Linked DNA regions of Nothobranchius furzeri. Each later gene encodes a partner of the first gene's protein in a complex. Links are inferred from orthologs where the notes say so. Each region holds a gene or a part of one and is shown on either strand. Other genes may lie near its edges.

Region 1 (4,075 bases):
GTATTGACCACTATATGTTTTATCTTTGTTATTGTACAATTAATATTCTGAGACCCCAAAAATAAGTTGACATACAGACTAAACTATTTGTTTACCTATAATCTCATGCAGGATTAAAAGCCGTCAATCAAAAAAACTCCAAATGCTTCAAACTGAGACTCAGTTCTTGTGACTTCCTGTAAAAGTTCAGTAAAATCCTAAATCTGCTGTGGTGTGGGACGGATTAACATGCATTTAAGCATTTCTCAACATTGCATAATTAATAATTCAGATTTGTGTCATTTTGGTCCTAAATGTAGATTTTACCATACACACACCCCTTATATCTTAATGGGTTTGGGGAAAAGGTCTAGAAAATCTGTCAACTTTCATCTGGACACACATTGAATCAGTTTGTTTGGGACACATTTTGAGTGTTGTAGTTCATGGGGCGAGTAGGAACAGACCAACTCTCATTCAGAATAGTTCAAACTTTCCAAACGTCTTTACTGGAGACACAACGTGATGGAATCAAGGACCCTTGTAAATGCAGTCGCTCAGGAGGTAGAGCTGGTCCAGTAATCGGAAGGTCGCAGGTTCGATCTCGGCTCTGACCAGAGAAGGCTGCTGTCCAATCCTTGAGCAAGACACTTAACCCGCCTTGCCTGCTGGTGATGGTCGGAGGGACTGGTGGTACCAGTGATCAGCAGCCTCGCCTCTGTCAGTGTAGCCCAGATCAGCTGTGGCTACATCGTAGCTCATCACCAACCGCGTGTGAATGGGTAAATGACTGATTGTGTTGTAAAGCACCTTGGGGAGCTGTAAAACCCTAAGAAGGCGCTATACAAAGACAAGCCATTTACCATCTAAATGGCTTGTTCTTGATATAACGCCTTCGAGAGTTCTACAACCCCCCAAGGTGCTTTACAACACAATCAGTCATTCACACCCTGTTGGTGATGAGCTACGATGTAGCCACAGCTGATCTGGGCCACACTGACAGAGGCGAGGCTGCTGATCACTGGTACCACCGGTCCCTCCGACCACCACCAACAGGCAAGGCGGGTTATGTGTCTTGCCCTAGGACACAATGACAGACCGACAGGGCTCGAACCTGCAACCCTCGAGTTTTGGGGTGGCCCCTTGTGAACGTTCTGATGTGTCTGTTTACACCCATGTGAGTGTTGCTCAGGATTTGTTGTCAGTCCGAGCCCAGCTTCGGTTCTGACTCATGTTCTAGTTCTCAGAAATATCCTGATGCATCTCTGCTTCTTTCTCTATTTTTCACAGATGACTCAACAGTGGCTTGGACATCTGTGATTTGATAGACGATGAAGCGTGCTCTGTTTGGCAGACCTGCTTGTTACCATAGCAATGTAAACCACACCAACATGGAGAACAAACTATAGTGAATCCTAATTTTTGCTTCCTTCTTTTTTACCCATGAAACCCACTAAAATCCCCTCATCCATCACATATTAACTGGTTTTGAATGGATTTCAGCTGAAAACGGTGCTCAACATGTCACTGGGTGTTCAGTCTCAGAAATGGTTTCCTACCCATGTCCAAGCCACTGTTCTTCAAGCCACTGGTTTACAGTCCAAAGGCAAAAATGGCACCAATGACGCCTACACCATCATCCAACTGGGCAAAGAAAAGTACTCCACGTCGGTGGCGGAGAAGACGATCAACCCCGTCTGGAAAGAGGAGGCCTCGTTTGAGTTACCTGGTCTTCTTTTAGAGGGAAACCCCGAAGTCTACGAGCTCTGCCTTACAGTCATGCATCGGTCCTTAGTGGGGATGGACAAGTTCCTGGGTCAAAAGTTCATCAACCTCAATGAAATATTTGTTAATAAGGAGAGAAAGAAAACAGAGTAAGTATATTTATGCACTAAACGTGTAAATGAAAAGCCATGAATACAAGTTTATGACTCTATTGCATTAATGTACTCATTCAGATTCATTTATTTGTTCTTTATGATTGTCAAACGTGTCAAAAAGAATCACTTCCCAAGTAGGGATGGGTACCTTTGACATTTGAATCGATCCGGTACTAATTCCCGGTACCTACGAGTTGATACCGGTACTTAACGGTACCAATTTTCGATACTTTTGAGTGTTTATTATTTTAATTCTCTTTTATAATTAAATATATATTTTTCTCAATATATAACAATATTTGATAAATATGACGATAAATATCATACAAGTTTGTATTTTAACATCGTCCTTGTAGTTTTATAAGCTGATAATTAAACTGAAGCAAACATCTTTACTGTGAACTAAATTTACTGTGTATCTTCATTCCTTTTGCCGTCCTTTTTCATTTGATTTTTCCTACTGGGAAGTTAGAATTTCCGAGGAGAAAGCGAACGCACCATTAGCTGATAACAATGGTAGCAATGGAAGCTAACATATCAAGCTAACGTTATCTTTAACAGTTTATTTAGCTGCTGGAGCAGATTAAAACGATGATGCCTCAAACTTAGATCGTTGTCACTGGTTTCATCTTCACCCAATCACCCGTCGCATTTAGTAAAGTAAAGCCAAACTTTAGAGCGCGTTCATGTTCTTCTAGTCGGAAATTCGGAGTTCCGAGGAGAAAGCGAACGCACCATTAGCGAAACGGAAGCTAACAAATCAAGGTAACGTTATCTTAAACATTTTATTTACCTACCGGAGCAGATTAAGATGAGGATGTCTCACTTAGATCGTTGTCGCTGGTTTCATCATCACCCAGTTACCCATCACATTTAGTGAAGTGGACCCAAGCTTTAGCGTGCGTTCTTTCTACCATGCTGCTCTGTTTACAACGGGCTCGCAGGGACCGGCGACATAACGCTCTTGCGCATGCGCGGCTGTCTTGGCAAGTTCTCGTTGTGATGGACGGGTACCGAAACGAGGCACCGTTTGAAATGACGTGAATCGGTGTTCGGTCGGTACTATGGAATTTGGTCGGTACCTTAAAAAGTACCGAATTCGGTACTCACCCCTACTCCCAAGTATTTCTGAGATGCAATTCCCAAAAATAAGCCAGAAGTTCAAAGAAATCTGCTGTTAGATATTTACATAGTATGAAGTTTCTGCAATGCATTAAATTATCATAGGGATGGGTACCTTTGACATTTGAATCGATCTGGTACTATTTCCCGGTACCTACGAATCGATACCGGTACTTAACGGTACCAATTTTCGATACTTTTGAGTGTTTATTATTTTAATTCTCTTTTATAATTAAATATATATTTTTCTCAATATATAACAATATTTGATATATATCATGATAAATAACATACAACTGTATTTTAACATCGTCCTTGTAGTTTTATAAGCTGATAATTAAACTGAAGCAAACATCTTTACTGTGAACTAAATTTACTGTGTATCTTCATTCCTTTTGCCGTTTTGATTTCTCCTACTGGGAAGTTAGAATTTCCGAGGAGAAAGTGAACGCTCCATTAGCTGATAACAATGGTAGCTATGGAAGCTAACATATCAACCTAACGTTATCTTAAACAGTTTATTTAGCTGCTGGAGCAGATTAAAACGATGATGCCTCACACTTAAATTGTTGTCACTGGTTTCATCTTCACCCAATCACCCGTCGCATTTAGTAAAGTGAAGCCAAACTTTAGAGCGCGTTCATGTTCTTCTAGTCGGGAATTCGGAGTTCCGAGGAGAAAGCGAACGCACCATTAGCGAAACGGAAGGTAACATATCAAGCTAACATTATCTAAAACATTTTATTTACCTACCAGAGCAGATTAAGATGAGGATGTCTCACTTAGATCGTTGTCTGTCGGTGGTTTCATCATCACCCAGTTACCCATCACATTTGGTGAAGTGGACCCAAGCTTTAGCGTGCGTTCACTGACCTAAAACATGTCGTTGACTCGTTGGTTCCGCCGATAACGGCAGATTCAGACCACCAGTTGATTTGTTAAGGTGAGGGCAACTGTATAAATGACTCGGCTTGTTTTGTTCTTAAGACATAATCAAAGTGCAAACAGGAAGATGTTTAACATGAAGTAGTGATTTTCAAAATAAGTTTATGTTCTGCCATAGTTCAGATTTTTTTTCAGATCTAAGTCCCAGA
Region 2 (4,269 bases), on another chromosome or scaffold:
AAAACAAACGTTTCACGACTCTGTCTCACGCCTTCAGTGAGCGTGCACCAAAGCAAAAGTCTCTTACCTTTCAGAACATCATTGAAAGCTGCCTCGACGTTGGTGGCGTTCAACGCGGAAGTCTCCATGAACATGAGCCCTTTCTTGTCTGAATCGAGGAAGAGTTTGAGAATTAATTACCGCTGATATTTAAAAATGATCTAATGGTTGAACAACAGTTGATGAACCTGCAAAGTCTTTGGCCTCCTCTGTGGGAACAGTCCTGAGGCTCTCCAGGTCCACCTTATTTCCCACCAGCATCACCACGATGTGAGGGTCTGCGTGGTCGTACAGCTCCTTCAGCCATCGCTCAACGCTTTCATAGGTCAGGTGCTTGCTGATGTCATAGACCAGCAGCGCACCAACCGCTCCTCTGTAATACCTGAACACACCAGGTGAGAGATGACACAATCATGGGTTGGATCTTCTACTGAGAGGAACAATCAATCCTTACATGGTCGCTGTGAAAGGGCAGGAACGCCCCATGTGTATACCTGAGAACAATAAATAAGGTAACTTGTGTAATTCGTTACGCTGTTTTAGATGCCTCTAATAAAAACAATACAATACAATAAAATAACAACTTTTTTTAATTCAATATGGACAACATGGGTTAATTAATAATTATAAAAATAATTTTATTACTAAGTACTGAGCCCTGGGGAAGTTAGAGAAGAAGAAAAAAATTTTTTTGTGAGATCTCAAGATTATCTTCAATTTTCTCTTAAGAAGTTCTGCTTCTCTCAGATCAACAGAAGTGATCACAGATATTGTGACACACACACACACACACACACACACGCACACACACACACTTCCTTTGTTAATGATCTTGGGATCTCACTAAACAAAGTCGGGATCTTGCTAAACAAAGTCGGGATCTTGCTAAACAAAGTCGGGATCTCACTAAACAAAGTCGGGATCTCACTAACAAAGTCGGGATCTCACTAAACAAAGCCGGGATCTCGCTAAACAAAGTCGGGATCTCACTAAACAAAGTTGGGATCTCGCTAAACAAAATCTGGATCTCGCTAAACAAAGTCGGGATCTCGCTAAACAAAATCTGGATCTCGCTAAACAAAGTCGGGATCTCGCTAGCAAAGTCGGGATCTCAGCAAAACAAAGTTGGTAACTCACAAAACAAAGTCGGGATCTCACAAAACAAAGTCGGGATCTCAGCAAAACAAAGTCGGGATCTCGCTAACAAAGTCGGGATCTCACTAACAAAGTCGGGATCTCGCTAACAAAGTCGGGATCTCGCTAGCAAAGTCGGGATCTCAGCAAAACAAAGTCGGGATCTCAGCAAAACAAAGTCGAGATCTCAGCAAAACAAAGTCGGGATCTCAGCAAAACAAAGTCGGGATCTCGCTAAACAAAGTTGGGATCTCACAAAACAAAGTTGGGATCTCACTAAACAAAGTCGGGATCTCGCTAACAAATTTGGGATCTTGCTAACAAAGTCGGGATCTTGCTAACAAAGTTGGGATCTCACTAGCAAAGTCGGGATCTCAGCAAAACAAATGGGATCTCACAAACAAAGTCGGGATCTCACTAAACAAAGCTGGGATCTCGCAAAACAAAGCCGAGATCTCACTAACAAAGTCGGGATCTCTCAAACAAAGCTAAAACCAAATGAGGACCCAAAAACATTTTTTTCCTGTTACCTCCAGGGCTCATACATTTCTGAATGAGCTTTTTTTTTGTGCGGTATGCTAGTCAAAAGGTCAAAGCCTTTCACCTGACAGAAGAATGTCTTCAATGCATTGTGAGAACTAATTTAGACTTTTAACCTGTAACGTGTGAAAATGTTTGGAACCAATGAGGAAAACACCCTAATACTTGGTTCTGGAGGCGTGGTGTGTATTAACTTTTAGTTGAGGTTAGGGTTAAGTAGAGTGGAGTCACTAAAATAAATGGAATTCAATGACTGGTCCACACAAGTATATAAATACAAGTGTATGTATGAGTGTGTGCCCACGCTGAGGTGATGGCCCTATAGCGCTCCAGCCCAGCTGTGTCCCAGATCTGGGCCTTGATGGTGAACTGGTCTAGCTGAACGGTACGGGTGCTGAACTCCACGCCGATGGTGGTGCGGCTATCGTGGGTGAAATCATTCTTGGTGAAGCGGGACAGAAGGTTGCTCTTCCCTACGCCCGACTCCCCGATCAGAACCACTAGAGAGAAGCAGACCAGACCAGATCGTGAGTGAACTCGTTTTCTGGGACAAACTGATGAATCAGATATTTCTGCCACACTAAACGCACATCCTATGACATCACACCAACATGGCAGACACAGAGGCTGACTCAACTTTGGAAATGAGAGAAATGAAGAATCACTGCAGGTTTGAGACATCAAACACTAAATTTTACAGCTTTAATTAAGCAGGAAAAGTAAGGACTTGTGCTCCCGTGACAGGTCAAAGGTCAGAAAGCAATACAACCAAAGAGACAGGAAGTAGTCACTTCCTTATTGCCCTGCTCGGGCTCTTTCTTAGAAATTAGAGCAACTAGCTGCACCTCAAGAGATCAGGAAGAAACAAACTCGAGCTCTAGCTTAAACAATCACAGCTGAAGTGAACGTGACTCACCTTTAAAGACAAAGTTGTACGACTCATCCGACCCCATGCTGCAGTCAGTGCCGATGGGTCCCTGGATATCCTGGAGCCACTTTCAAAATGTGGAGGACTATTAAAACAAGTCCAGGACGACCTCACCGCCTTCAGTAAGGATCCTCTTCCCTTTTACTCTGGATTCAAGTCGCTGCTGAGGACAAAAGACGCAGCAGGATTCCTGATTGTCCATCAGCTGACGCCCGAAGGAGGGCCGAGGGAAGGTGAGCAGGTGGAACAGGTTAAACCACTCTCAGGGAGAGACTCCACCCTCTCAGCCTAATTTGTTTAACAATCGTCCTCACCCAGCAGCTGGAGGATCCGAGCGACAGAACAGGTCACGGTTTCGTCTCAGAATCTGGCTGTGGAGAATCGTTTTGATTTAAACTGGTGTTTTTTGTTCTTGTGGTTCGACTGAATTTACTGTTTTCTCTTCTGCTACCTTCAAAAAAATGAAACATTAAAAGAAATTAAATTTGTCTTTTTAAATAGTTTGACAGTTTGTTTACAATAAATCAAACCTTTAAAGAAGGGAACTCCTGAAAATATGTCTTTGTGTCGATTATTTACAAATTACACACCTAAAGGTGACGTTTGGTGAATTAAAGCCACGAAAAAGCATTAATCTGAAGGATCTCCCATCACCTTCTCATCCGAGTTTTAGTGACACGTTACAATAACCGTCCCTTTATTAACGTTACTTATAAAGCATTAATAAAGTTTTAATAACTGTAACGGTAGCGTTAATAAAGGGCCACTTACAGAGTTTTAAATTAAGCCCATGAAGAGGAGGATGCAGGGTGGTGCAGCAGGATTGTCGTAAGGTTGCTGGTTCGAATCCCGCATGGGTGGAATTTCTGAGCAGTTGAGTTTCCTCCTACGTTGACTGGTGTCCCTAGGTGTGAGTGGGTGACCCTGTGATGGACTGGAGACCTGTCCAGGTTGTCCCCCTGCTGGACGCCCTGTGAGTGAGTGAGTGAGTGAGTGAGTGAGTGAGTGAGTGAGTGAGGGGTTCGGAGACGGATGGGTGAACGTATCTCATTCAACATGTCAGCCATGACTCTCTGTACGTGTGAAACAAACTTCCATCCGGTTTTGTCTCCTGAAGTCGTCTCGACTCAGACGTTCACTGAAGATTTTCTTTAAAGCAACAATTTTCCCGGTTCTGCTCCCAAATGGTTGGTCGTCATAAACAACGGCGCTGTTGCTCGCTCTGGCTTTGCAGATAACTTTGCTTCCTACTTTTTTAGAGGGTTAGAAACTGAAACAGCGTAGGCCGTGTTGATGTTAGCTCTAGTTCTAGCTCTTTGTCTGGTCTGAACTTTCTTCACTTCGCCTCCAAAGACATTACTCTCTTCCTTTTACTTCCAGGCTCCGCCATGATGCTGACAAAAAACTAAACCTCTTCTTCTTCTTCTTCTTGTGATTTTTACCAACAGTTTTACTGACAAAGCTAACCGTTAGCCTATCGGCACAGTATAGCCGTAAAGCAGGTCGACACTAGAGGTAGGCAGTACACCAAAAATGTAACAACTCCAAAATGTACGTCTGTTATCGATGTCATTTTGCCCACGTCAATATATTAGGTGTTTGGAATAAAAGTATATATAGATAGATAA
Region 3 (4,027 bases), on another chromosome or scaffold:
TGGTATTGTTTCATGAGTATTCATGTTGGTTTTCACAATAAAAGGAAATTGAAACATTGACATAATCTGCTTTTAGTTGAGACAAAAATCAGTATCAGCAAGTCTGTTTTTATTTTTTTCAAGATTGGTGAACAGTGATCAGCCAAAAACTGCAATTGGTGCACCCGTAATTTATTTATATTTTTTTATTTGTCTCTGGGCGTTTTTTACTCAATATTTTTTAAAGAGACAATTTGAAGTTTTTACCATAAATTTCAGGAAATATCCATCAAAATGTTGTTGAAAATGAATGAAATAATTCCCAGTTGTTGCTTTGTAACATATAACCATAAAAATCTGGTCTAAAATACATAGGAGCGGGATCGTTTTATCAGGATGTTAGGAGTCCCACCCCCTTGGCCCCGTCCACTGACAGGTGCCATGTTAAAGAGCAAGTCACCCCTACCAGAGTCTCACTCCACTCCCATTTCCTGTTTAAAAAATGCTGCTGCCTGGCAGACCGAAAGGGCAGAGCCGCTAACACACACACACACAGGCTCACATTGGCCGTGTTCAAGATGATCCAGTTCTGCGCAGATTCGATCACCGGTGATCGGCGCGCAGTGCATGCTGGTTAGATTTGTGTCTGACTTGACGCCGACTTGCTCTGATGTCATGCCTACGTAGGCAACGATAACCTCGTGAGATCAAGGCGGCCGCAGATTTTGGAGCAAGGCGCTGCAGTTGCTCTCCGCCGGTTGCAAAACCTAGGGCGTGACAGGAAACGCCTCGCTCTCACCTGATCTAAGATGACAACTATATAGGCCATAAAGAGAAATGTGATTTGTGTTTTTATTGTCACATTTCCTATGAGCACACTAAAACTCTACAGCTGCTAACCTTTACTTATTATTACTTCATATGCACATGTCAACATTACATGATATTGTCAGGATGTGTTTCAGTTGCTAACAAGCACCAGAACTTTAATTACAAATTAAACAAGTATGAATGAATGTGATATCTTTATCCATCATCACCTGCGAGCTACATGTAGGGAAATTTGATCATCTTAAGCCTGGTTCATGCTTCTCCGTCAGCTCCGCAAAGGACAGACACGCACGGATTGACGGAAGCGTTTTGCTCTCATACTTCTCCGTCTCCTGGAGAGTGTTGCAAAGCAATTCCCCAGCAGGACAACAGAGGACGTAGGCTGTTCTGTGGTATCCTGTCATGCATCCGGTCCAAGATGGTGTGTTTATATTATGTTTTTTTGTATATAAGAGACTTTTTAACAGACAAATTTGTCTCTCATTCTCCTCCACCTCTTCATGCGCTCGCCACCTCTAAACCCACGTTTCCTGTCATTTCCATCCACTAATAAAACGCTTGCTGCGCATCTTTTCACTCCTCCTGTCACTGGGGAATTAAACATTCATATTTTAGAGTTTTTTCGCGAGGTATTCTTCAAGCTGCTCCGTGTCTGCCACTAGTTATCCTCGGCTCTCTTTATGTTTTTGAGGGCGCAATGGCGGCGCTGTAGACAACAGCGGCGTCCTGACCAATCACAAGCTTGCGTTCTCCGTCTCGACTGACGGATGTTTAGAAAAGAGAGCTCGACTCCGTCCGTCCTCGCGGAGCTCTCTGACGTTGCGTGTCTCAGCACTGACGCAGATGGAGGAGCATGAATCAGGCATTAAACGCCGGCTTTCAGCCACTCCCCCTGCTGCATCCGTCTGCTTTCATCTGTTTTCCAAGCGAGGCGCTGCTCAACTCGAACAAGGCCAACAACATTGTGATCTCATAATGTACCAGCTGACATCATAGTGTACTTCTCAGCCAATAGCGATGGCAGATTTAAATTTGAATGCAGTGCAGAGTTTTTACCTGACAACATTGACAGTTTTAAGCAGAATATTTCAATTTTAACTAAGATGCACTAAAATAAATCGCTTGGGGGGGGGGTTGAAAAAGACAAATACAACCGTTTTACTTCTTATTCAGGAGTTATTTTAATGATACTTGATTATTTTATGTTCTCTTTGGTGATTCTGCTCCTTTCAGGATTTGGTGTTTTTATAAACTGATAAATGAAGTTAAAACTCTCGGGAAAACAGGAGGTTAGTGGAAGAAATGTGAGAATACGAAACCGGAAGCTCACGTGAGAGTGGAATATAAATAACCCACAGATGAACAACCTGATCAATAATCTGATATTAATAACCTGATCAATAAAGCAGTTAAGAGTTTTTCGTCCAGTTTCACCTCAGCTGGACCAGCCCGGTTCTGCCTCGGGCTCTGAATTTGCTGTTAAACGTCGTCTCGGGCCCGTTAACGGTGCTGCTGGCAGATCGGTCCGGATCGCATCAGGAGGATCTGATCATGTTAGGTCTAGGTGTGTCCCGCTGGCTGTCGGCAGGCTAACCCGAGCTAACCGCTATCCCGAACCAAGATGCGCTTTAGCACGAACAACAAGCACCGGATGAACAATTTCCTACCCGAACGAGTCAGACATGGTTCGTCGGGAGTTCGGAAAACCGATTCAACGCGCTGACTCACGTCAGAGAAGTTTGTTGAGACCCGAACACAAAAGGCTGACGGCGGTTCCGTTAGCTCCACCGCCTAGCCTGCCAAATAACAACAAACACCGCTTTACCTTTGAATAAATAGTCGTATTCATCATCTCTGGTGCCCATCGTCCCAACACTGGAGAGCGGGTCCAAAAATGATTTTGTTAAAACAGAAAAGACGAGATTTTACTGTCCGACGGGAATTAGATGGGAGATAGTTTCTTCTTCGCTGGAATCCTGACAGCGGAATGCAGCGGATACTCTGCCCCCCAGCGGCCACAGGACGGAGCGCAACCTGGAGGTGTGTGTACCGAAAATGCCAGCCGAGACATTTGCATGCATTGTTACGGGAACGCGCATATTGAGGAAGACATTAATTTGGAGGCCTTAAAACTCATAAATACATTATTTTTTCATTAAATGTAGAATACTGTATGCTCACCAAGTGTCAAATAAATAAAGTGATTTCAAACTTAAAAGTTATTTATTTTTAGGCATCAATACATTCATTAATAACAGTATAATTAGGCTATGAATAAAGTATAAAAATGATGCTAACCTGAGTGTTTATCTCTTCAGTTAGTTAAAGTGACCTGCACATCTCGCTGTAGCAGGGCAGCTGTGGCTACATTGTAGCTCACCATCACCAGCATGTGAATGTGTGTGTGCATGGGTGAATGGCTGGTTCGTTGTAAAGTGCCTTGGGGGGTTTTAGAATCCTAGAAGGCGCCACAGGCCATTTACCATTTTGCATAACTAAATCTCAACACTTCTAGGATGGAGGGGTTGAAGGGCTTCTGGGGCTAGTGTCCCATGTCCTTCAGTCCCAAAATAAACAATACAGATATTAAGCTCACTATAGTAGCCCAGCATAGCCTATACATGTGAACATGTAGGATAATGTCATTTGATCCACAAGAGTTTAATCTTCTAAGACATTGGTTCTCAATCCTGGTCTCCAAAGGGCGGTATCCATGTTTTCGTTGTTCCTCTATACTCTACATAATTCAGTGGTTGAATCACCTGTTCAGAAGCTCCTCAGGCTCCGTAAAAGCCTGTTAATCACCTGCTGATTACAACCAGGTGTGTTGAAGCAGGGAAACAACTAAATCATGCTGGCTATCGGGACCACCCCTGCTATAAGATAACAGGGAGGATTTTCTGGGCCTGCTGTAATTTGTGGTGGTCAGTATCCCCCTCTTTTCACCCCATAATTGATCATGCAGGTATGAATCTCACTCCAGGAGGCCTGTTTTTATTTTCATCTCTTAGAGATTCTGAATGAAGTCTCCTGACGTCAGGAGGAAGCCCCGAACTTGAGAAACTCCACAAGATATATTTATTTCTTTAAGAAGTTCCTCCATTTTATGTTCTGTAGAGACAAAATTATTTAAAAAAAAACGTCAGATTATTTATTTACTCTCTGTAATAAAAACCAGCACATGACGTTGCATCTTACATTTTTGCCCCAGGTGCTT

The links. Proteins that work in one complex are often made in the same cells at the same time.
Region 2: the proteins of rab11 family-interacting protein 2 (region 1) and ras-related protein Rab-25 are in contact, whole or in part, in a crystal structure (PDB 3TSO), measured with the Homo sapiens proteins. The link is inferred for Nothobranchius furzeri from reciprocal best matches to the Homo sapiens genes RAB11FIP2 and RAB25. Residues at the interface, in NP_055719.1 of Homo sapiens: Arg475, Glu478, Ile481, Asp482, Asn483, Leu485, Val486, Met489, Pro493, Ser494, Leu496, Arg497, Val498, Pro499; in NP_065120.2 of Homo sapiens: Arg34, Ile45, Gly46, Val47, Glu48, Phe49, Ser50, Thr51, Lys62, Trp66, Arg73, Arg75, Ala76, Ile77, Ala80, Tyr81.
Region 3: the proteins of rab11 family-interacting protein 2 (region 1) and rab11a are in contact, whole or in part, in a crystal structure (PDB 2GZD), measured with the Homo sapiens proteins. The link is inferred for Nothobranchius furzeri from reciprocal best matches to the Homo sapiens genes RAB11FIP2 and RAB11A. Residues at the interface, in NP_055719.1 of Homo sapiens: Glu478, Ile481, Asp482, Asn483, Leu485, Val486, Met489, Glu490, Pro493, Ser494, Leu496, Arg497, Val498; in NP_004654.1 of Homo sapiens: Arg33, Ile44, Gly45, Val46, Glu47, Phe48, Ala49, Thr50, Lys61, Trp65, Arg72, Arg74, Ala75, Ile76, Ala79, Tyr80, Arg82.

Annotation. Positions count from the first base shown.
Region 1 is NC_091752.1:6,563,732-6,567,806, forward strand, and holds the start of rab11 family-interacting protein 2, read left to right. Parts: upstream 1-1,275; 5' UTR 1,276-1,500; coding exon 1,501-1,853; intron 1,854-4,075. UniProt on the Homo sapiens protein: A Rab11 effector binding preferentially phosphatidylinositol 3,4,5-trisphosphate (PtdInsP3) and phosphatidic acid (PA) and acting in the regulation of the transport of vesicles from the endosomal recycling compartment (ERC) to the plasma membrane.
Region 2 is NC_091759.1:20,370,609-20,374,877, forward strand, and holds the start of ras-related protein Rab-25, read right to left. Parts: upstream 2,801-4,269; 5' UTR 2,667-2,800; coding exon 2,630-2,666; intron 2,214-2,629; coding exon 2,018-2,213; intron 422-2,017; coding exon 228-421; intron 149-227; coding exon 68-148; intron 1-67. UniProt on the Homo sapiens protein: The small GTPases Rab are key regulators of intracellular membrane trafficking, from the formation of transport vesicles to their fusion with membranes.
Region 3 is NC_091749.1:66,767,987-66,772,013, forward strand, and holds the start of rab11a (ras-related protein Rab-11A), read right to left. Parts: upstream 2,801-4,027; 5' UTR 2,676-2,800; coding exon 2,636-2,675; intron 1-2,635. Other genes in the region: SH2 domain-containing protein 7, read right to left, coding at 3,958-4,027. UniProt on the Homo sapiens protein: The small GTPases Rab are key regulators of intracellular membrane trafficking, from the formation of transport vesicles to their fusion with membranes.